3 linked regions of the Anolis sagrei genome follow. The main gene of each other region encodes a partner of the protein of the gene in region 2 in a complex. Links are inferred from orthologs where the notes say so. Each region holds a gene or a part of one and is shown on either strand. Other genes may lie near its edges.

Region 1 (7,728 bases), on a different chromosome or scaffold from region 2:
TCCGCTACCTTGGTAGTCACCTCTAGACAAAAGACAACAGTGACACTGAAATAAAACTCCGCTTGAGCTCTGCGAGTGCAGCATTTTTCTGAATGAAGCAGAAAGTGTTTGAGGACCGGGACATCCATAGGGAGACCAAGGTGCTTGTTTATAAAGCTATTGTCCTCCCAACCCTGCTATACACCTGTGAAACGTGGACTGTCTACAGATGCCATACGTAACTCCTGGAACGATTCCATTAGCACTGCCTCCGAAAAATCCTGCAAATCTCTTGGGAAGACAGGCGGACAAATGTCAGCGTGCTGCAAGAAGCAAAGACCACCAGCACTGAAGTGATGCTCCTAAGCCATCAACTCCGCTGGACTGGCCACGTTGTTCAAATGCCCAATCACCATCTCCCGAAGCAGTTAATATACTCCTAACTCAAGAACAGAAAACGGAATGTTGGAGGACAGGAAAAGAGGTTTAAAGATTGGCAAAGCCAACCTTAAAAACTGTGGCATAGACACCGAGAACTGGAAAGTCCTGGCCCTTGAGCACTCTAACAAGTGTCAAGTTTATAACTTTGTAAGTACCTTTAAATGTGTTTTAACATGTGATGTTTAATGGATATATTTGCAACAAATGTTGATGTATATAATAAGTGCTAAGTTTATAACTTTGGAAGTAACTTCAAATGTATTTCAGTATATGATGTTCAATATATATATTTGCAGCAAATTTTGATGTATATAATAATTTTAGTCCACTAGAGGAAGGCCTGGAGAAAGAACAAAACCGGTCGTGGATGGCTGATTCATATGCAACTCAACATAAGAAGACACGACGTTGATACCATTTCAAAGTGACTGTACAAAAACTCATATAATATTGTTTGTGATCACTGTAAACTTGAACAGTATAACAAGTTTATACAATTATACATTGAATTCTATTTTCTATTTTCTATACAAGGGGGATATTTGTTGAGCATACTAACTCAGGAACCCATTCATATTGCACTCTAACTAAAGGTGAGCTGTGACCAGCAGTGCTGTGACCAGCAGTGCTGCAAAATTCAAAGAGGCACAAATGGAGGGTGAAAGGGAGAAACATGCCCAAAGGAAGGCGTGTCAAGCCAACCCTGATTGGACCGCCTCCCATCTGGAAACTCACTGCAGAAGAACATGTGGATCAAGAACTGGGCTCCACAGCCACCTACGGATCCACCGCCAAGACACCACATCTGGAAGACAATCATCCTCGAGCTATGAGGGATTGCCTAAGGATCAGAAAAGCCGAAGTATCACTGTCTCAGTCACCCAAGCAGTCAATTTTGGAGGATTCTGGCCCTCTTGTCAAGAGATACCTGTCACCTGTACGCAGATGATGTCCAACTCTATCACTCCTTCCCTCCTGCAACTAAGGAGGCTGTTCAGATCCTGAACCGATGCTTGGCCGCTATGATGATCTGGATGAGGGCAAACAAATTGAAACTGAATCCAGACAAGACAGAGGTCCTCCTGGTCAGTCGTAAGGCCGAACAGGGCATAGGATTACATAGCCTGTGTTGGATGGGGTTGCACTCCCCCTGAAGATGCAAGTTTGCAGCTTTGGAGTGATCCTGGACTCATCGCTGAGCCTGGAACCCCAGGTTTCGGCGGTGACCAGGGGAGCATTTGCACAGTTAAAGCTTGTGCGCCAGCTGCGCCCATCCCTTGGGAAGTCTGATCTGGCTACAGTGGTCCACGCTCTGGTTACATCCCATATAGACTACTGCAACACACTCTATGTGGGGTTGCTTTTGGAGACTGTCCGGAAGCTTTGAATGGTCCAACGAATGGCAGCCAGATTGCTAACAGGTGCAGCGCTCAGGAAGCATACAACTCCTCTGTTGCGCCAGCTCCACTGGCTGCAAGTTTGCTACCGGACACAATTGAGAGTGCTGGCTTTAGCCTATAAAGCCCTGAACGGTTCTGTCCCAACTTACATGTCCGAACGCATCTCCCCTTATGAACCAGGACCTTAAGATTGTCTGGGGAGGTCCAGCTCTCGTTACCGCCTTCATCACAAGTACATCTGGCGGAGACAAGACAGGGACATCTCGGCGGTGGCCGCTCAGCAGTGGAACGCCCTCCCTATAGATATTAGATCGGCCACCTCCCTTTTAACATTCCAGAAAATGTTAAAAGGGCTTTTTGAACAAGCGTTTCCAAGTGCAGAGTAACTGACATAGAAAAATGGAAAGACGACAATGAGACTGGACAACGTTTTTAACAAGGCGACACTAAGAATTTATATTTTATTGATATGTTTAATTTTTATTATATGTCTTGTTTTTAATTGTATTTATGATATTGTAAGCATTGAATTTTACCCTGTTAACTGGCTTGAGTCGCCTTCGGGCTGAGAAAGGCGGTATACAAATACAGTAAGTAAATAAATAATAAATACCCGATCTATATTTTGTAGCAATAGAAGTCAAAAGTGTGAGAGAAATAACACTCCTGAGATACCTGTCCAGATTGAAAGGAATCATACTCTTGAGATACCTGTTTTAGTAATACTCCTGAGACACCTGTCCAGATTGAAAGAAACAATACTCCTGAGATACCTGTCTTAAGCAATACTCCCAAATCTTGCCCTGAGGGTGGAAAAGGAATGAAGGGGGAGGGAACTGAGAAGCAGAGGAATCCAATGGCAGCCTTTGGGAGAAGGAGCTGGAGGCGCAGACTTGGGGAAAGGGAACTTGTGATGGGGAAGCGAGAGACCCTCCCTCCCTGCCTGCCTCCTGCTCACCTGGCAGCCCTTCTTGTGGTGGAAGCCGACCACGGCGATATGCAGCACGGGCCCCTTGGAGGCTCGGGGCGGGAGGTCGCCCTGCGCTCGGCCCCTCCGCTCCATGAAGGGAAGGAGAGCCGCCTGCCTTCCTCCACTCTTGACAGGCTCCTTCCCCACTCTCCGGATGAGCGGCGCGAGGCGGCCACTGAGCATGCGCCAAGAAGGAGGGCGCACGCGCAGTGGCGCCTACCGAAGCCCTCGCGCCGAGAGCTCAGGAAACCGGAAGAGAGCGGACTTCAGTCACCGCCGAGGGCCGGGAGGCCGAGCCAGTCCCGAGGAGGGAGGGAGGGAGAGGACAGAACGAGGAACCTGGGCGTGAAGGTCTCTAGTCACAAAGTCCAATAGCCGAGGGAAGTTACTGGCCGCCTTGGCCAAATTAGGGCCACAGGAAGAAGAAAGTTTCCTGACCTGTTACCTCAGGCTGGTTCCTCTGGGCAACCAGTTGCCAGGGCTCTGCTCTTAAAGGGACAGCACCCTCAGAACGCCATAGAAAGAAAGTCCTGCTACTATTATTTATTTACTACATTTATATGCTGCCCTTCTCACCCTGCAGGGGACTCAGAGCGGCTTACAAGCTATTTATACATACAATATATTATGTTATTATATATTATATATTAAGCTGGGGTGAAAATTGCTGGAAAAAACATTAACAACCTCAGATATGCAGATGACACCACTCTGATGGCCGAAAGCGAGGAGGAGCTGAGGAGCCTAGTGATCAAGGTGAAAGAAGAAAGCGCAAAAGCCGGGTTGCAGCTAAACATTAAAAAACCCAAGATTATGGCAACAAGAATGATTGACAACTAGAAAATAGAGGGAGAAAATGTGGAGGCCGTGACAGACTTTGTATTTCTAGGTGCAAAGATTACTGCAGATGCAGACTGCAGCCAGGTTCGAATCTGGGGAGCGGCATGAGTTTCTGCTGTCAGCCCCAGCTTCTGCCAACCTAGCAGTTTGAAAACATGCAAATGTGAGTAGATCAATAGGTACTGCTCTGGCGGGAAGGTAACGACGCTTCATGCAATTATGCCAGCCATATGACCTTGGAGGTGTCTACGGACAACGCCGCTCTTCGGCTTAGAAATGGAGATGAGCAACATACCCCAGAGTTGGACACGACTGGACTACATATCAGGGGAAAACCTTTAACTTTACCTAAAGTAGCTTTAGTTACTATTTCTCATTTCCCCCTATGTACGTCCTGTATGACATCACTTTAAACTGCCATGGGTCAGCACTAAGGGAGGTGAAAGACTTTGTGAAACTATAACTCCCATGATTTCCATAGCACTGAGCCATAGAAGTTCAAATGAATCCTACATCCACTCTGTAGGATTCATTAATCTTACAGAGTGGATGCACCTACATTAGGAAGAACTTCCTGACTGAGAGCAGTTCAGCAGTGGAACTCTCTGCCCCGGAGTGTGGTGGAGGCTCATTCTTTGGAGGTTTTTAAACAGAGGCTGGATGGCCATCTGTGAGAGGTGCTTTGAAGGCAATATTCCTGCTTCTTGGCAGGGGGTTGGACTGGATGGCCCATGAGGTCTCTTCCAACTCTGTGATTCTATGAATACACAGGAAGCAATCGTATTCGCAGTGTGTATATTCCTGCTGTCATTGCAACTTGTCGTGGTGGGTGCCGTACAATACAAAATAGCTTGAGATCTGCGTTTCGTTTAGAGTTGGATCCCGCTATAAACCATACACCAATCGCTCAGTGAAGCATCCTCATGTGACTAGATGAGCTCGTCCCCGCCTCCTCTTCCTCCCCGCTGTTGAAACCGTTCGACTGCTCGCTCATCGATTGGTTGGACCTGTCTGAGCGGTGCCGCCGGGTCGATTCTTTGTGGCGTCACAGCCCCCGTGATCCTTATTTAGCCAATAGGCTCGAAGCAGCGCCGCGCGGAGGGGGTGGAATTGATTAGTTGGGTCTGGCGCAAAGATGGCGGCCAACGCGACGACCAACCCGTCTCAGCTTCTACCTCTTGGTAACAAACTGAGGGAAACGCGACGAGGAGGAAGGGGAAGGGGAAGCGTGGCGTTTGGGAGAAGTGGGGAGCTGTCATATTTGTCTGGCAAATTAAAAAGATAAATGACTGAAGTGGTAAATGCTCTTTCCCCGCTTCCTTGGCCATTAGCTTCAGGCGAAACCTATGTTTGAGGCCCTGCGTCAGGGAAGTTCTGTCAGTTTTCTTGGAAGTGGGATGAAGGAACTCGAGAAGCAGCTTTGTTCTATTTTGTTCTCCTAATATTTTTAATTATTTTTTTTACAACAAAAACACAAAAAGGAGCAATACTTGTAAATACAGGGTGAGGCAGCATAACTTCCTTTTTTTCAAAACTTAATAAAACCCATTGTATGAATCAGAATTTTTTTTAAATCATCATCATTATCATTTAATAACTTATTAATCACCTAGAGAATGCTCTAGGCTAAATTACAAAAGATAAAATACATACATACAAAAATTAAAAATCAACAGAGATCGAATGCTCTAGTAAAAAGCCAGGTCTTAAGTGCGAGAGTAAAAGGCCCTAAGTCACGCATGGCTCTCATGTAGGGTGGCAAGGAATTCCACAAGGCAGGGGCAGAAATAGAAAAAGCCCTGCGTCTGGTCCTTTCCAAGTGCACTTCTCTAGGACCCGGTATATGGAGTAAGTCACGTTGGGCTGGTTGTTGCGACCTCCGATGATGGGAGAAGGAGAGGCGGTCCCTAAGGTACGATGGACCCTGGCTGTAAAGAGTTTTAAAGGTCAGAACTAGCATCTTATACAGGCCACGGTACTCAGTTGGAAGCCAATGTAAATGTTGCTGCACTGGTGTTATATGGTATTTCATGGGCGTTCTTGTGAGTAACCTGGCTGCCGCGTTCTGAACAATACGAAGCTTTCGGGTCGTAGACATCGGAAGGCCCACCTACAGGGCGTTGCAATAGTCCAGCGTAGACGTGACCGTGGCATGGATGACAGTTGCCAGAGCCTCGTCAGATAGGTAGGGTGCCAGTTGCCTCGCTTGTCGTAGATGGAAAAAGGCCTGTTTCCTGGCAGCAGTGACCTGAGCTTCCATTGTCAGCTGTGAATCCAGGACAACACCTAAGCTCTTAACAGTGATCGATGGAGATAGGGCAGCACCATCGAAGGTGGGTAATGGAGTCAGACCTGCCAGGCGACCATGCCAGAGAATCTCAGTCTTCGCTGGGTTCATCTTCAGTCTGTTAGCACGTAGCCAGTTTGACAGAGCTTCCAGACATAGGGTGAAATTGTCTGGAATTGACGTTGCTCCAAGCTCCGCATACCTAAAGTTTTGTTTTACATAGTTTTGAAGATCAAATTAGGTAGGTGACGTCCCCCATTCGCCATACACTGAGTAAAGCAATTTCTGGTGTTTGTCATGACTTGGCAGCATAGCAGGCATTATGTTGGCAGTTTCTTCCTGGATGTTGGTCTTCAAATCTTGTAGGGTCCTTAGACGGTTCGCATAAACACGGGATTAGAAAAAAAATCACAAGGGGCCAAATCTGGAGAGCTGGCCGGCCACTCCAAATCCGCTCGAAAAGTAGGCCTCAATGGCAAAAGTATGCTCCTCACTGTTCCAATGCATGATGGACTGAACTGTGTCAGGACAAAACTTTATACTCCCGCTTCTCGAATGAGACCACTAGCGCTCCACTTCGTCTTCAGCCGACTAAATTGAGCACATTTTTTAAAAAGGAAGTTATGCTGCCTCACCCTGTACATAAAACATGACATACTTAGAGTATGACAACCCGAAGAACATACATTTCTACCTACAACTCTACAACATTAGTTTTCAAAGTGGATTTCCAACATCTCTTTTTTTCAGTTTCTCGATCAATTTAATTGTTTTTCTTCCACTTTATATCCAGCCAATTGTTTACTTTAGTTTTCTTTAACATTTGCAAATGAATATCCCAACATTTTATGTCACCAAACCTATATATAAAGTCTTTCATTCTCCCCAGATATATCTTGATAATATGGTTTCCACTGGGTTGCTGTGAGTTTTTCGGGCTGTTCCAGTAGTATTCTGCAAGTCTATTATTGGCAAACAAAAGATATCTCCAGACTACAACACTGACTGACTCTGCAGTTGCAAGGCTAGTAAAGGTAAAGGTTTCATAAAACAGTCGTATCCGACTCTGCGTGGTGGTGCACATCTCCCTTTCTAAGCCAAAAAGCCTCTGTTGTCCATAAACACCTCCAAGGTCATGAGGCCAGCATCATTGCATGGAGCACTGTTACCTTCCCACAGAAGAGGTATCTATGATATACTCACATTTGCATGTTTTCGAACTGCTAGATTGGCAGAAGCTGGGCCTAACAGTGGAAGCTTACCATGCTCCCCGTATTTGAACCACCAACCTTTTGGTGAGCAAATTCCGCAGCTTGGTGGTTTAACCCATTGAACCACCGGGGGGGGGGGGGTGCAAGGCTACTCAATTCTACTCAGTCTTGCTAATTGCAAAACTTGCTTCAAACAGACAAGGTCCCCCCCCCCCCCCAACCTTGGACAGTTCACAGATATATACACTCTACATGCCTCACTTCCAACAGTCCTCAGAACAAACCTCTGAAGATGCAAACCACAGATGCAGGCAAAACGTCAGGAAAGAATGCTACTGGAACATCACAGCAGCCCAGTGATTTCAGCCATGAAAGCCTTTGACAACACATGGTTTCTATTCTAAGATTGTGCCCAATGTCTTATCTATCAACAACATTGTTAAATTAGTCTGTTTCTATTATTTATTGCATCTTGACTGTCCAATTTTCTATAGTTGGTATTTCTGTCATTTTTCACCTTGGAACATATACAATTCTTGTTGCTGTTAACATTTATTGCAGCATTCTCTCATGTTCCTTTTTATTTGATTGTTCAACTGT
Region 2 (7,522 bases):
TCACGGATGATTTTCCTCACATGCTCCGGAGGCATGTCCTCCTTCTGCGCATCCACAAAGCCAAACTTCCGCTTCTCAGCGTAGCGCTTGGCCTGCAGCTGCTGCCATTTGCGGGCTGCGAAAGCCAGAACACACTCACAATAGAGGCAGAGCTTTCCCCAAAAGAGCCAAAGCACCCCCCGCCCAAAGGGAATGATACTGCCAGGATCCTATAATTAAGGCCTGTCGTATATTAGGGATTTACTCATTATTTTTATTATACTCTGCTTTTTTTCTCTATGAATAAGAGACTCAGAGGGGCTTAGAGTTGCCCTTGGGCTGAGAATTGCGGTATATAAGCACAGTAAATAAATAAATAAAACAAATAAATAGAGTGAAGCCAATAATAATAATAATAATAATAATAATACTTTATACCCCGCTCCATCTCTCCCAGGGGGACTCAGTGCGGCTTACATGAGGCCTTGTCCAAAAATACAGTATCATAATATAACACAAAAGCATAACAAAACCAGAAATAAAATACATCAAATGCAAAAGCAATATAATAAATGAAGAACAAAAGCAAATCAAACATTAAAACACAGAGGATTAGGCTGGGCAAGGCCGAACTCAATGATAAATTTGTTAAACGCTGGGAGATAGGACAATATAAATTATTAGAAGGAGGATCCGGGGACAGGGAAGGATTTAATTGCACGAACCATAAAATAAAGTGCTTCTGAGGTCATTTTATGCAAAGTTTGGTCAGGGAGTATCTTACATTTAGGCCAATACAATTTAAGGCCTAAAATACACAAACATTAAAATAGAATTCAATATTAATGGTATATAAATAAACTATTATTATTACTTAGATCTTGCTATATTTCTCTAAAAAAATACTCAAAGCAGCTTATTGTAAAACCAATGCATACAATTGAAATCCACCTAAAAATATGCCAATATTAAAATATAATTAAATGTCAATGGTATTATAATAAGCAGTAAAAACTCTTAAATCTGATTAAATAACATAGACCTATGACGGAATAATTTGACAGATCAGCCTGGCTATGTCAACTAACAAGGCGATATAAGAGCGTGAACATATCGTACCTTTCTCCTGGAGCTTCTCCTCGGACATGTAGTCTGGCAGCGGAGCCATAGGGGCCGGCATCGGAGGGCAGGGCCCCCGGAAGGGAGGGAACACGCCAGTTGCCATGGCCGCAGGTCAGGCCTAAGGGAAGGGAAACAAACATGTTATTAATATATACTATTAGTATAATACATTACTATGGTATATTATTATATTGTACTATACCACTATAATGTCATATAACATGTATTATATAATATGCACCTGCCTATCTATAATATACTAGCCCTCCCTTGCCACACATTGCTGTGGTCTAGCCTGTGTATATATGTTTTGTGTTTGTGTGTATGTGTGTGCGTATATATTTGTGTGTATATGTGTATTTGTGTGTATATGTGGTTTTGCACATGCTTTGTAATGTATTTTTTTTTTGTTTTTCGGCTTTTTAAGTCTCTTCTGTTGTGTTTTCCAGTGTTTGTCAGTGTTTTCCAGTGATGGTCACTCGTTGGCCTGAGAGGGGTCTTGTGTCCAAATTTGGTGTCAATTTGTCCAGTGGTTTTTGAGTTATGCCAATCCCACAATAAATCATTACATTTTTATTTATATAACTAGCCGTTCCCTGCCACGAGTTGCTGTGGCCCACTCTGGTGGTCATGGGGGTTCTATGGCCCAATTCGTTGGTGGGGTTCAGAATGCTCTCTACAAATCCCAGCAACTACAACTCCCAAATGTCAAGTTTCTATTTTCCCCAAACTCCACCAATGTTCACATTTGGGCATACTGAGTATTCATGGCAAGTTTGGTCCAGATCCATCCTTGTTTGAGTCCACAGTGATCTCTGGATGTAGGTGAACTACAACTCTAAAACCAAAGGCCAATGCCCACCAAACCCTTCCAGTATTTTCTGTTGGTCATGAGAGAACTATGTGCCAAGTTTGGTTCAATTCCATCGTTGGTGGGGTTCAGAATGCTCTTTGATTGGAGGTGAACTATAAATCCCAGCAACAACAACTCCCAAATGACAAAATCTTTTTTTTTAGTGAAGGACATACATTGGGCTGTTAGGTGTCTTGTGTCCAAATTTGGTGTCAATTTGTCCAGTGGTTTTTGAGTTATGTTAATCCCACAAACGAACATTACATTTTTATTTATATAATTATACAATATAACAATACACAATAATGCACCATAATGATAATATATTAAACATAATATTATTGTTAATATATAATACACACACAACTATATATATATTACCGTTTTATTATTGAATATCTGAAGTTGTAATATTTTTATTGTGAGCTGCTTTGAGTATCAATATGGAGATAAAGTGGGATACAAATATAAATAAATAATGGGGAGGGGCAGTTAAATAAAATTCTTATCATTAATTATTATTAATATTAATTAATATTATTAATAAGACATGAGTCCTTGGCCTAGACTGGAAATTGAAGTCTTCTGCACACACTCTGTGTGTCTTTACTAATTACTCCTGTGTTAATTTATTGTAATTAATTAATTAATAATAAGCACAGGAGTAATTAGTGAAGTGTGTGCAGAAGACTTCAATTTCCAGCCTAGGCCAAGGAGCAAGGCCTTGGCCAATCAGACGCGGGCAGGAGGAAGAGTAGCCAATCAGCAAACAGTATGCAAATGCGCCAAGCGTGGGCCTAGTCCTGCTTCGGGCGCCTCCTTGGCGTAAACCAGAAACCCATTCTCGCTCCTTCTTTTCTAAAGTATCTCATTATGCATATGCAAATAAGCCCAATTATAGCGGGGAATAAAATTCGGGATGACTACTGACCTTCCGGCCTGGTATCTTCCCTTCTCTCCTCCCCTCCTTCCTTCCTTCTTCTCTCTTTTCCTCTCAGGCGAAGGACTCGTAATGGCGGCCGCCTTCGCCGCCTCTGCGTGAGAATCTCACACTGCGCAGGCGCCACTCTCCGGAAACGGATGAGGCGTGGAAAGGATTTCGCAGCCGGCCAATCGACGAGCGCTGAGAGTGAGGGGGCGGGGAAGGGAGAAGGTATCCGCCCCTTTTTTCTCTCAAACGCATGCGCAGTGAGGGCGGGAAGGCAACGCGCCGGAAAGGGAAAGGGACGGGAACCTTTGATGCGCGTGCGCACTAGCGAGGGAGCTCTCTTTTTTCTCTTTCTCCGGCGCGTGCGTAGTGAGAGTGTGAAGGCACCTTTGATGCGCATGCGCACTAGCGGGGGAGCTCGCTTGTCTCTTTCCGGCGCGTGCGCAGTGAGGGCGGGAAGGCAACACGCTTCAAAGGGAAAGGGGCGGGCTCCTTTGATGCGCATGCGCAGTAGCGAGGGAGCTCCCTTTTATCTCTCCAGCGCGTGCGCAGTGAGGGCGGCAAGGCAACGCGCCGCAAAGAGAAAGGGGCGGGCACATTTTTTGCGCATGCGCACTAGCGGGGAGTTCTCTTCTATCTCTTCGGCGCGTGCGCAGTGAGGGCGGGAAGGCAACACGCCGGGAATGAGAAAGGGGCGGGAACCTTTGATGCGCGTGCGCACTAGCGGGGATGTGCTTTTCCCCGCCCTTTCCGGCTTTCTGCTGCTGCTGCTTCCACTTCCGGTGCGCGTTCCTTTCCCCTCAGACGGCCATGCTGCTCGCTCGGGTCCTCCGCTCTTCGGCTTCCGCGGCGCTTCGGCCTTTCCAGGCGCGGACGGGCGCCTCCAGCCTGGCTCCGCGGCTGCTCCCCGCCGCCCGGCCCTTCACCCGCTCGCTGTGGCAGCTCCAGGAGCGCAGGCCTCGCGGGGGAGGGGGAGGCCTCAGGAGCCTGCCCTCCGCCCCCTGCGCATGCGCGGGCCTCCACACTGAAGGTGAGCCTCCTCCTCCTCCTCCATTCACCTCCTGGCCACGCGCCTGGCATCGTCCCCTGGACAACCTCCTTGCAGACGGCCCATTCTCTCACGCCAGAAGCGACTTGCAGTTTCTTAAGTCGCTCCTGACACCACAAGTAATAATAATAATAATAATAACAAAATAAAAATATTCTCTGAAAATAGGGTTTTGAATGCGTTCTCTCTGGGAATAGGATCTCTGTGCCTAGGAAGAGAATAATAATAATAATAATATATTATATATAATTTTATAATATTATATTATATATTATAATAATGTTAGAATTATATATATATATATATATATATATATATATAATAATCGTATAATAATGTAATTATGGGAGCTTTGGTGTGGGCTGGTTGTTGTTGTCATGCTTTCAAGTCATTTCAGACTTAGGTTGACCCTGAGCGAGGGCTGGGGAAATGACCTTGGAGGGCCGCATCCGGCCCTCAAGTCTTAGTTTGAGGATCCCTGGCTTAGACAGATAAACACATACATAGGATAGATACAGATATACTTACATAGTTGCATAGCTACAAAGAGACAGCTAGATTAGATAAACAGATGCATAGATCAGATACAGACATGCATACATAGTTGCATAGAGGGATAAATACAGATAGATCAGATAGGCAGATGCATAGATTAGATGCATAGTTGCATAGATAATAGCTACAGATAGATTAGATATATTGATAGTAATATATAATACTGATATTGTACTATACTAATAATATATTATATTGTATGTATATATTTTGTAAGCCGCTTTGAGTCCCCTGAGTAAGGGGAGAAGGGCGGGCGGCATATCCATGTCGCAAATAAATAATAAATACATAGATAGGTCCATAGATTAGGTCAGTGTTTCTCAACCTGGGGGTTGGGACCCCTGTGGGGGTCATGAGGGGGTGTCAGAGAGGTCACCAAAGACCATCAGAAAATACAGTATTTTCTGTTGGTCTTGGGGATTCTGTTTGGGAAGTCTGGCCCAATTCTATCGTTGGTGAGGTTCAGAATGCTCTCTGATTGTAGGTGAACTACAAATCCCAGCAACTACAACTCCCAAATGTCGAGGTCTATTTTCCCCCAATTCCACCAGTGTTCACATCTGAGCATATTGAGTATCCGTGCCAAGTATGGTTCAGATTCATCATTGGTTGAGTCCGTAGTTCTGTCTGGATGCAGGTGAACTACAACTCTAACATTCAAGGCCAATGCCCACCAAACCTTTCTAGTATTTTCTGTTGGTCATGGGAGTTCTGTGTGCCAAATTTGGTTCAGTTCCATTGTTGGTGGAATTCAGAATGCTCTGATTGTAGCTGAACTATAAATCCCAGCAACTACAACTCCCAAATGACAAAATCAACCCCCCCCCCCAACCCCACCAGTATTCAAATTTGGGTGTATTGGGTATTTGTGCCACATCCTACCTATCTGATACTTACACAACGATTCATAACAGAAGCAAAATGACAGTTCTGAAGTAGCAACAAAAACAATGTTATGGTTGGGGGTCAACATAACATGAGGAACTGTATTAAGGGGTCGTGGCATCAGGAGGGTTGAGAAACACTGGATTAGGTGGATAGCTCTCACCTGTGTGTTCTTGGCAGGCGACAAAGCTTTTGCGGAGTTCCTGGTGGACGAAATCAAGGAGGAGAAGAAGATCCAGAAGCACAAGTCATTGCCCAAAATGTCCGGCGGCTGGGAGCTGGACGTCCAAGGCACCGAGGCCAAGCTGGCGCGGAAAGTGGCCGGCGAGACGTAAGGGGCGCCTCCTCCTCCTCCTGGGTGGGGTCAGGTGGGGGTCTCCCACCCCTCTTGTTATATCTCTCTGGAGTTTGCTCACCTTGGGCTCCTCCTCCTGGTTCCGTCCACAGGGTCACGGTGTCCTTCAACATCAACAACAGCATCCCGCCGAGTTTTGACGAGGCTCCAGAAGGACAGAAGCCGGACGAGCAAGAAGTAAGTGGGGGTCCTTTTATTATAGACTAGCTTGGGTCCCTGGCATTGCCCGGGCTATTAGAAGAAGCCACTTTTTAATTGTCCCAAATGCCTAAGATTCTAGATGAACTACAACTCCCATCATGCCAGGGGAACTCCCTGAAAACCCATCAATATTTAGTTTGTCATGTTAGGCAAATTTGCTTTAGATGCATCCTCAGTGGGGTTCAGTGTGCTCTCTGGCTGCAGGGTGAACTACAACTCCCACTGTGGTCAGTCCTGTCAAATCCTTCCTTGGTCATGGAGGTTATGTGTGCCAAGTTAGACGCAGTTCCATCAATGGTGGGGTGCGGAGTGCACTTTGATCACAATTGAACTATAAATCCCAGTACGTACAACTAACCGATGTCAAGGCCAATCCCTCCCCCCCCCCCCCCAACTCACCAGTATTCAAATTTTGGCATATGGGGTATGCGTGCTGAATTTGGTGCAGATCCATTACTGTGTTGACATTGCTCTCTGGATGTAGGTGAACTATAAATCCTAAAAATCAAGATGAATCCCCCCAAGTCCCTCCTACATTCTTTTGTTGGTCATGGGGGTTTTGTGCGCCAAGTTAGGCCCAGGTCCATCATTGTGGGGTCCAGAGTTCCCTTTGATTGCGGGTGAACTATAAATCCCAGTACCTACAAGGACTGTGAATCAAGGTGAATTCCCCCCAAACCTTTCCAGTATTGCCAGCAGCTTACAGAATGGCAGTGGAATCCTAGAGTTGGGAGAGGCCCCCAAAGGGCATCTAGTCCAACCCCTTTCAGCCAGGTGGGAAGATGCAACCCAAACCCTCCCGACAGAGGGCCATGCGTACTCTGTTCACGAAGACTCCACCAGTTCTCCCAAAGGGAAGGCAGTGATCAAGATGGCTAAACAGAGGTCTGTTTTTTTCCTGCAGCCGGATCTCACGTCGACCCCGAACTTTGTTGTGGAAGTCACCAAAGATGACACCAAGCAGACCCTGGTGCTGGACTGCCACTACCCTGAGGACGAGGTGAGTGGAGGCCCGTGTGGGCCGTTCCCAAGTTGCAAACATCCGACTGACAAACGACTCACAGTTAAGAACAGGGCTGAAGCAACTGGGAATGAGGGGAATCCACCCCCCCCCCCTCGGAAGGGAAATCCACTCCTGGAAGAGTTATTGTTATCATGGGGAAAGGGGGTCTGAAATATATTGTGTGTGTATGCATTAAAATCACTACTGACCGAGAGGTCATGAGTTCGAAGCCAGCCCGGGTCGGAGTGAGCTTCCCACCATTTGTCTAGCTTGCTGTTGACCTTTGCAGCCCGACAGTTGCATCTGTCAAGTAGGAAATTTAGGAGGCTAATTAACTAATTTACGACGCCATAAAAATCTCCATCAGTGTCACAAGTGGACAGTGGAGCGATAGCTCCCCCGGTGGCTGGAATTGAGAAAGAATACTCTCACGAAGCTAGAAAGTTAAATAGCCTCTGTGTGTCTGCCTATATGTCTGTCTATATGTGTTGTGTGTCTGTGGCATTTATTTATTTGTGACGTTTATATTTATTTACAACATTTATATGCCGCCCTTCTCAGTATCAGTATTAAATATTACTATATTGTATTAT
Region 3 (7,073 bases), on a different chromosome or scaffold from region 2:
TGATCCCTATGAGGAGTGGCTTCAGGAGCTGGAAAAGTTCAGTCTGAAGAAGAGAATGACATGATTGCTTTGTATAAATATCTGGAAGACTCTCATAAGGAAGAAGGAGCAGGCTTGTTTTCCGCTGCTCTGGACACTGGGACTCAATGGAGCAATGGGTTCAAATGACAGGAAAGGAGATTCCACCTGAACATTAGGAAGAACTTCCTGACTGTAAGAGCTGTTCAGCAGTGGAACTCTCTGCCTTGGAGTGTGATGAAAGTTCCTTTTTTGGAGGCTTTAAAAAAAATACTGAATGGTCATTTGTTGAGGATGTTTTGATTGTGGTTTTCCTGCATGGCAGGAGACTGGACTGGATGACCCATGTGGTCTCTTCCAACTCTACTATTCTAAGGTCTTTGGCCTTCTCTTCCAAAGAGAACTGGTCCTCACCAAACTGCAACTCCCAGGACTCCATAGCATTGATCCATGGATGGTCAAGGGGCATCAAACTACATTGATTTTGCAGTGTACAGCTGGCTCGTGTCCCTGTTTGTAGGAGGTACAGTTCCCAGGTGTTGCTTTCATTCTTCTCTCTAAACAGAATATTGTGTCACAGTAAATGTTATATTTCAGCATTATCACTTATCTGAGCTTCTTTTGTGTGTGTGTGTGTGTGTGTGTGTCAGGAGCGACTTGAGAAACTGCAAGTCGCTTCTGGTGTGAAAGAATTGGTCATCTGCAAGGACATTGCCCAGGGGACGCCCAGACGTGTTACCATCTGGTGGAAGGCATCTCTCATGCCCCCACATGGGAAGCTGGAGCTGACAGAGGAGAGCTCACCCCACTCCCTGGCTTTGAACCACCAACCTTTTGGTCAGCAGTCCTGACCATTGTGCCACCAGGGGCTCCATCTATCTAAGCCAGTGTTTCTCAACCTGGGGGTTAGGACCCCTGAAGGGGTCGCGAAGGGGTGTCAGAGGGGTCGCCAAAGACCATCAAAAAACACAGTATTTTCTGTTGGTCATGGGGGTTCTGTGTGGAAAGTTTGGCCCAATTCTATCATTGGTGGGGTTCAGAACGCTCCTTGATTGTAGGTGAACTATAAATTCCAGTATCTACAACTCCCAAATGTCAAAGTCTATTTTCCCCAAAGCCCATCAGTGTTCACATTTGGGCATATTGAGTATCCGTGCCAAGTTTGGTCCAGATCCATCATTGTTTGAGCCCACAGTGCTCTCTGGATGTAGGCGAACTAGAACTCCCAAACTCAAGGTCAATGCCCACCAAACCCTTCCAGTATTTTCTGTTGATCATGGGAGTTCTCTGTGCTAACTTTGGTTCAATTCCATTGTTGGTGGGGTTCAGAATGCTCTTTGTTTACATGTTAACTATAAATCCCAGCAACTACAACTCCCAAATGACAAACTCAATCCCCCCGCCAACCCCACCAGTATTCAAATTTGGGCATATCAGGTATTTGTGCCAAATTTGCTCCAGTGAATGAAAATACATCCTGCAGATCACTATTTACATGGCGATTCATAATGTTAGGGTTATGGTTGGGGGTCACCACAACATGAGGAACCGTATTAAGGGGGCGCGGCATTAGGAAGGTTGAGAACCACTGATCTAAGCTAAAGGCATATGTAGCCATTTTGACACCAGCAAAAATGATACATGGGAGTTATAGTTTTGCAAGGTCTTTATCCTTCTCTGCCAAATAACAGCTGGTGCCTCGCCAAACTTCTTCTTCTTCTTAGGCGATCCCTCGCTTTCCGAGGATGATTGCCTTCCAATATTCTTGTGGGTCCATATGTGGCTGTGGAGCCCTATTCTTGCTCTGCATCTTCTTCCGCAGTGAGGGCATTGGTTTCCTGGTGGAAGGCGGTCTTGGTCGGGGTTGGCTTGACGCGCCTTCCTCTTGGCACGCTTCTCTTTTTCGCCCTCCACTCGTGCCTCCTCAAATTCTGCAGCACTGCTGGTCACAGCTGACCTCCAGCTGGAGCGCTCAAGGGCCAGGGCTTCCCAGTTCTCAGTGTCTATGCCAGAGTTTTTAAGGTTGGGTTTGAGCCCATCTTTAAATCTCTTTTCCTGTCCTCCAACATTTCGTTTTCCGTTCTTGAGTTCGGAGTAGAGCAACTGCTTTGGGAGACGGTGGTCGGGCATCCGGACAACGTGGCCGGTCCAGCGGAGTTGGTGGCGGAGGACCATCGCTTCAATGCTGGTGGTCTTTGCTTCTTCCAGCACGCTGACGTTTATCCGCTGTCTTCCCAAGAGATTTGCAGGATTTTCCGGAGGCAGCGCTGATGGAATTGTTCCAGGAGTTGCATGTGACGTCTGTAGACAGTCCACGTCTCACAGGCATATAGCAGGGTTGGGAGGACAATAGCTTTATAGACAAGCACCTTGGTCTCCCTACGGATGTCCCGGTCCTCAAACACTCCCTGCTTCATTTCGGAAAAATGCTGCGCTTGCAGAGCTCAGGCGGTGTTGTATTTCGGTGTCGATGTTGACTTTGGTGGAGAGGTGGCTGCCAAGGTAGCGGAAATGATCAACATTTCCTCGCCAAACTACAACTCCCATGATTCAATAGCATTGAGCAATGGCAATTAAAGTGATGTCAAGCTGCACTCCTTCTACAGTATAGATGCACCCCTATTAGACACGAGTGCATGGACACCCCTGCAAGCAGGTTCCCCTTCCTGAATTGCAAACGAGTCCTGTGCCTGCTTAAGAGAAGACCCCAAAGACAAGAGACCAACAATCACAACAATGGAGGAGTTTCACCCCATTGAATTAATGCTTTTACTTTCCCGGGGGGAGGAGAGGGTGCTTGATGGAATGGCCAGCACTGTGACGTCACAGACTCACCATAACAGCCGCCGGCAACTCCCGCCGCACAGAACCCGCGTGGATCGAAGCCCCTGGACCAGAAAGAACTTCCCGGGCTGCGCATGCGCGGTGAGAGCCTCTGCGAACGCTCAGGAGACGAAGCAAACGGAAGCGCTGCCTTCGCGTGAAGCAGGAAAGGGAACCGGGCTGCCTTCTTAAAGGAGCCGCGGCCTAATTCTTCCCTTGATTGTTCCATATCTTAAAGGGGCCGGCTGATTAATTAACACGGCATTTAAAAGGGAAGCGGCTTCACTTTTCTTTGGGGTGAATCTACATTATACAATGAATGCAATTTGACGCCACTTTGAATGCCTTGGCTCAATGGTATGGAACCCTGGGAGTTGTAGTTTTCCAAGAGAAGTATCTATCTACACTATAACATTGAGGCGGTTTGACCCCGCTTGAACTGCCATGACTTAGTGCAAGTTTTCCAAGAGCAGTATATATCTACACTGTAGCATTGATGCAGTTGGACCCCACATTAATTCCCATAACTCAGTGCAATGAAGTTGTGGGAGTTGTAGTTTTCCAAGAGCATTATCTATACTGTTGCATGGATGCAGTTGGACCCCACTTGAACTGCCTTGAATCAGTGTAATGGGAAGTTGTAGTTTTCCAAGAGCAGTATCTACTCACTGTAGCATTGATGCAGTTTGACCCCACTTGAACTCCCATGACTTCATGCAATAGAGTTGTGGGAGTTGTAGTTTTCCAAAAGAAGTATCTATCTATACTGTAGCATGGATGCAGCTTGACCCCACTTGAATTCCCATGACTCAATGCAATAGAGTTGTGGGAGTTGTAGTTTTCCAAGAGAAGTATCTATTCTACACTGTAGCATGGATGCATTTCGACTCCACTTGCACTGCCATGCCTCAGTGCAATGGAGTCGTGGGAGTTGTAGTTTCCCAAGAAAAAAAATATCTATCTACAGTATTGATGTATACTTAGCATTCATGCATTTTGACCCCACTTGAATTCCCATGACTCAGTGCAATGAAGTTGTGGGAGTTGTAGTTTTCCAAGAGCAGTGTTTATCTATATGTAGCATGGATGCAGTTTGACCCCACTTGAACTGCCATGAATCAATGCAAAGGGGCTGTGGGAGTTGTAGTTTTCCAAGAGCAGTATCTACTCACTGTAGCATGGATGCAGTTTGACCCCACTTGAACTGCCATGACTCCATGCAATGGGGCGGTGTGAGTTGTAGTTTTCCAAGAGAAGCGTCTATCTAGACTGTAGCATGGATGCACTTTGACCCTACTTGAACTCCCATGACTCAATGCAATGGAGTTGTGGGAGGTGTAGTTTTCCAAGACACGTGTCTATACTATAGCATGGATGCAGTTTGAACCCACTTGAACTCCCATGAGTTAATACAGTGGTGTTGTGGGAGTTGTAGCTTTCCAAGAGAAGTATCTATTCTAAACTGTAGCATGGATGCGGTTCCCCCCCCCCCCCATTTGAACTGCCATGCCTCAGTGCAGTGGAGTCGTGGGAGTTGTAGTTTCCCAAGAAAAAATATCTATCTACAGTATTGATGTATACTTGGCATTAATGCAGTTTGACCCCACTTGAATTCCCATGACTCAGTGCAATGGAGTTGTGGGAGTTGTAGTTTTCCAAGACACGTGTCTATCTACACTGTAGCATGGATGCAGTTTGACCCCATTTGAACTCCCATGACTCAAAGCAATGGCATTGTTGTGGGAGTTGTAGTTTTCCAAAAGAAGTATCTATATATATTGTAGCACTAGCCGTCCCCTGCCACGCGTTGCTGTGGCCCACATAGGGGTTCTGTGTGGGAGATTTGGCCCAATTCTATTGTTGGTGGGATTCAGAATGCTCTGTGATTGTAGGTGAACTATAAATCCCAGCAACTACAACTCCCAAATGTCAAGATTCTATTTTCCCCAAACTCTACCAGTGTTCACATTTGGACATATTGAGTATTCGTATAGAGTTTGGTCCTATTGAGTATTCGTATAGAGTTTGGTCCAGATCCATTATTGCTTGAGTCCACAGTGATCTCGGGATGTAGGTGAACTGCAACTCCAAAACCAAAGGACACTGCCCACCAAACCCTTCCAGTATTTGCTGTTTTGTCATGGGAGTTCTGTGTGCCAAGTTTGGTTCAATTCCATCGTTGGTGGGGTTCAGAATGCTCTTTGATTGTAGGTGAACTATAAATCCCAGCAACTACAACTCCCAAATGACAAAATCAATTTTTTTGAGTGAAGGACATACATTGGGTTGTTAGGTGTCTTGTGTCCAAATTTGGTGTCAATTCGTTCAGTGGTTTTTGAGTTATGCTAATCCCACAAACGAACATTACATTTTTATTTATATAGATTGATGCAGTTTGACCACACTTGAACTGCCATGACCCCATGCTATGGAGTTGCAGTTTTCCAAGAGAAGTAACTATCAACACTGTAGCATTGTTGCAGTTCGACTCCACTTGAACTCCCATGACCCCATGCAATGGAGTCGTGGGAGTTGTGGTTTTGCAAGTTCCTTCTCTCCAATGAGTACTGGTGCCTCACCAAACTACAAATCCCAGGGTGCTTTTTTATCCCCCTGATTAAAATAAAAGGATGGAGGGAGTAAAAAAACCTTGGACAACCAACATTAAAAAAATTCCTTGTCTGCACCAGATGGCAGCAGAGAGCCATTTTTTGGCTTTCCTAAGGGAAATTCTCATTACACTTTAGATCAGGCATAGGCAAACTCTGGCCCTCCAGGTGTTTTGGACTTCAACTTCTACAATTCCTAACAGCCTACCAGAATTGTGGGAGTTGAAGTCCAACACATTGGAGGGCCGAAGTTTGCCCATGCCTGATCTAAAAGTGTAATGAGAATTTCCCTTAGGAAAGCCAAAAATGGCTCTCTGCCATTTGGATCCACCAATGCATCCTCTGATAGTTGACACATTAGAGCCACATAGGAATCTTGAGGTCCTCCAGCTTGATTCTATTGCTCAGATCCCCCAAAATGTTGACACCTTCTGCATTTAAATGAATGGACACCCTCTGCAATTATCTCTTTGTTTTATGTATAGATGCCGTGAAATGCCCTTATCTCTTGCATCCCGAAATATGACTATGATGTGGAACGCCAGTATGTAAAAAGGATATTGCAGAACTTTGAGAAAGCAAATGGTAACATAAGCTTTTGTAAGCATCTGAGGAGGTAGACTAAAGGTGCATCTGCACTGTAGAATGAATTCAGTTTTGAAATTGAGCAATTTCAAGGGGTGGCAGATATTGAGATCTGGATCGCAGATAGCGAAACCCAGTGTGTGGATACCGAGATCCATTAAGTGGGTAACAGGTACCGGCAGCAGGCCGACTGTGGATCCATGCCTGGTGAGACTAAGAAGCTATAACCCAATGTTCCCCAATCAAGAAATCTCACCAGTTGAAGATAAAGCTGTCAAAAAATTAAAAATGCTCAGTTTCTGCTCTGTAGCTAACCTGTACGGTTCTGTTCTGTGCTTTAAAAATGTTTAAGGCTATCAACTCACCCTCCGCATGTGAGGTTCGCTCAGTGATACGTTTTTTTGTCAGCAAGGAACCTGCCTGCTGCAGAAATTCATCGACAGATTTGTGAAGTGTACGGTGAGACTGTTATGAGTGAAAGCAAAGTGTGTAAGTGGGTACGACAATTCAAAGATGGCCGTGACAACGTCCATGATGAGGACCGCTCCGGTCGCCCTTCTTTGATTACAGATAATTTGGTGGCTTCAGTTGAAGTGAGGATTCATGAGAATAGGCGCTTCACAATAACAATAATAAAAAAATTTGAATTGTCATACCCACTTACACACTTTGCTTTCACTCATAACGGTATCACCGTACACTTCACAAATCTGTCAATAAATTTCTGCAGCAGGCAGGTTCCTTGCTGACAAAAACCGTATCACTGAGCGAACCTCACATGCAGAGGGTGAGTTGATAGTCTTAAACATTTTAAAAGCACAGAACAGAACCGTACAGGTTAGCTACAGAGCGGAAACTGAGCACAGTTGTTCCCGAGGCATGCCGGTACACGATGCACGCGCTCGTTGCAGTATGCGCGCGAACTACTAGTGTCTACAACAAAACGGACATTACTTAAAAAATACCCCTCGTATTTTTAATTACAAAAATGTGAGCCAAGCACTGAAAGGGTTGAATGAATGCAATGACTCAGCAAAA

Evidence for each region. The genes of interacting proteins can lie anywhere in the genome.
Region 1: PRPF8 (region 2) and LSM5 share a complex: the UniProt entries of both Homo sapiens proteins name them as parts of the U4/U6-U5 tri-snRNP complex. The link is inferred for Anolis sagrei from reciprocal best matches to the Homo sapiens genes PRPF8 and LSM5.
Region 3: PRPF8 (region 2) and LSM2 share a complex: the UniProt entries of both Homo sapiens proteins name them as parts of the U4/U6-U5 tri-snRNP complex. The link is inferred for Anolis sagrei from reciprocal best matches to the Homo sapiens genes PRPF8 and LSM2.

The regions. Positions count from the first base shown.
Region 1 is NC_090026.1:72,054,207-72,061,934, forward strand, and holds the start of LSM5 (U6 snRNA-associated Sm-like protein LSm5), read left to right. Parts: upstream 1-4,713; 5' UTR 4,714-4,765; coding exon 4,766-4,811; intron 4,812-7,728. Other genes in the region: late secretory pathway protein AVL9 homolog, read right to left, coding at 2,779-2,973. UniProt on the Homo sapiens protein: Plays a role in pre-mRNA splicing as component of the U4/U6-U5 tri-snRNP complex that is involved in spliceosome assembly, and as component of the precatalytic spliceosome (spliceosome B complex).
Region 2 is NC_090031.1:35,466,080-35,473,601, reverse strand, and holds the start of PRPF8 (pre-mRNA-processing-splicing factor 8), read right to left. Parts: upstream 3,024-7,522; 5' UTR 2,886-3,023; intron 1,220-2,885; 5' UTR 1,205-1,219; coding exon 1,099-1,204; intron 116-1,098; coding exon 1-115. Other genes in the region: C1QBP (complement component 1 Q subcomponent-binding protein, mitochondrial), read left to right, coding at 3,612-3,912, 5,551-5,701, 5,818-5,902, 6,831-6,926. UniProt on the Homo sapiens protein: Plays a role in pre-mRNA splicing as core component of precatalytic, catalytic and postcatalytic spliceosomal complexes, both of the predominant U2-type spliceosome and the minor U12-type spliceosome.
Region 3 is NC_090022.1:21,207,144-21,214,216, forward strand, and holds the start of LSM2 (U6 snRNA-associated Sm-like protein LSm2), read right to left. Parts: upstream 3,016-7,073; 5' UTR 2,857-3,015; coding exon 2,854-2,856; intron 1-2,853. UniProt on the Homo sapiens protein: Plays a role in pre-mRNA splicing as component of the U4/U6-U5 tri-snRNP complex that is involved in spliceosome assembly, and as component of the precatalytic spliceosome (spliceosome B complex).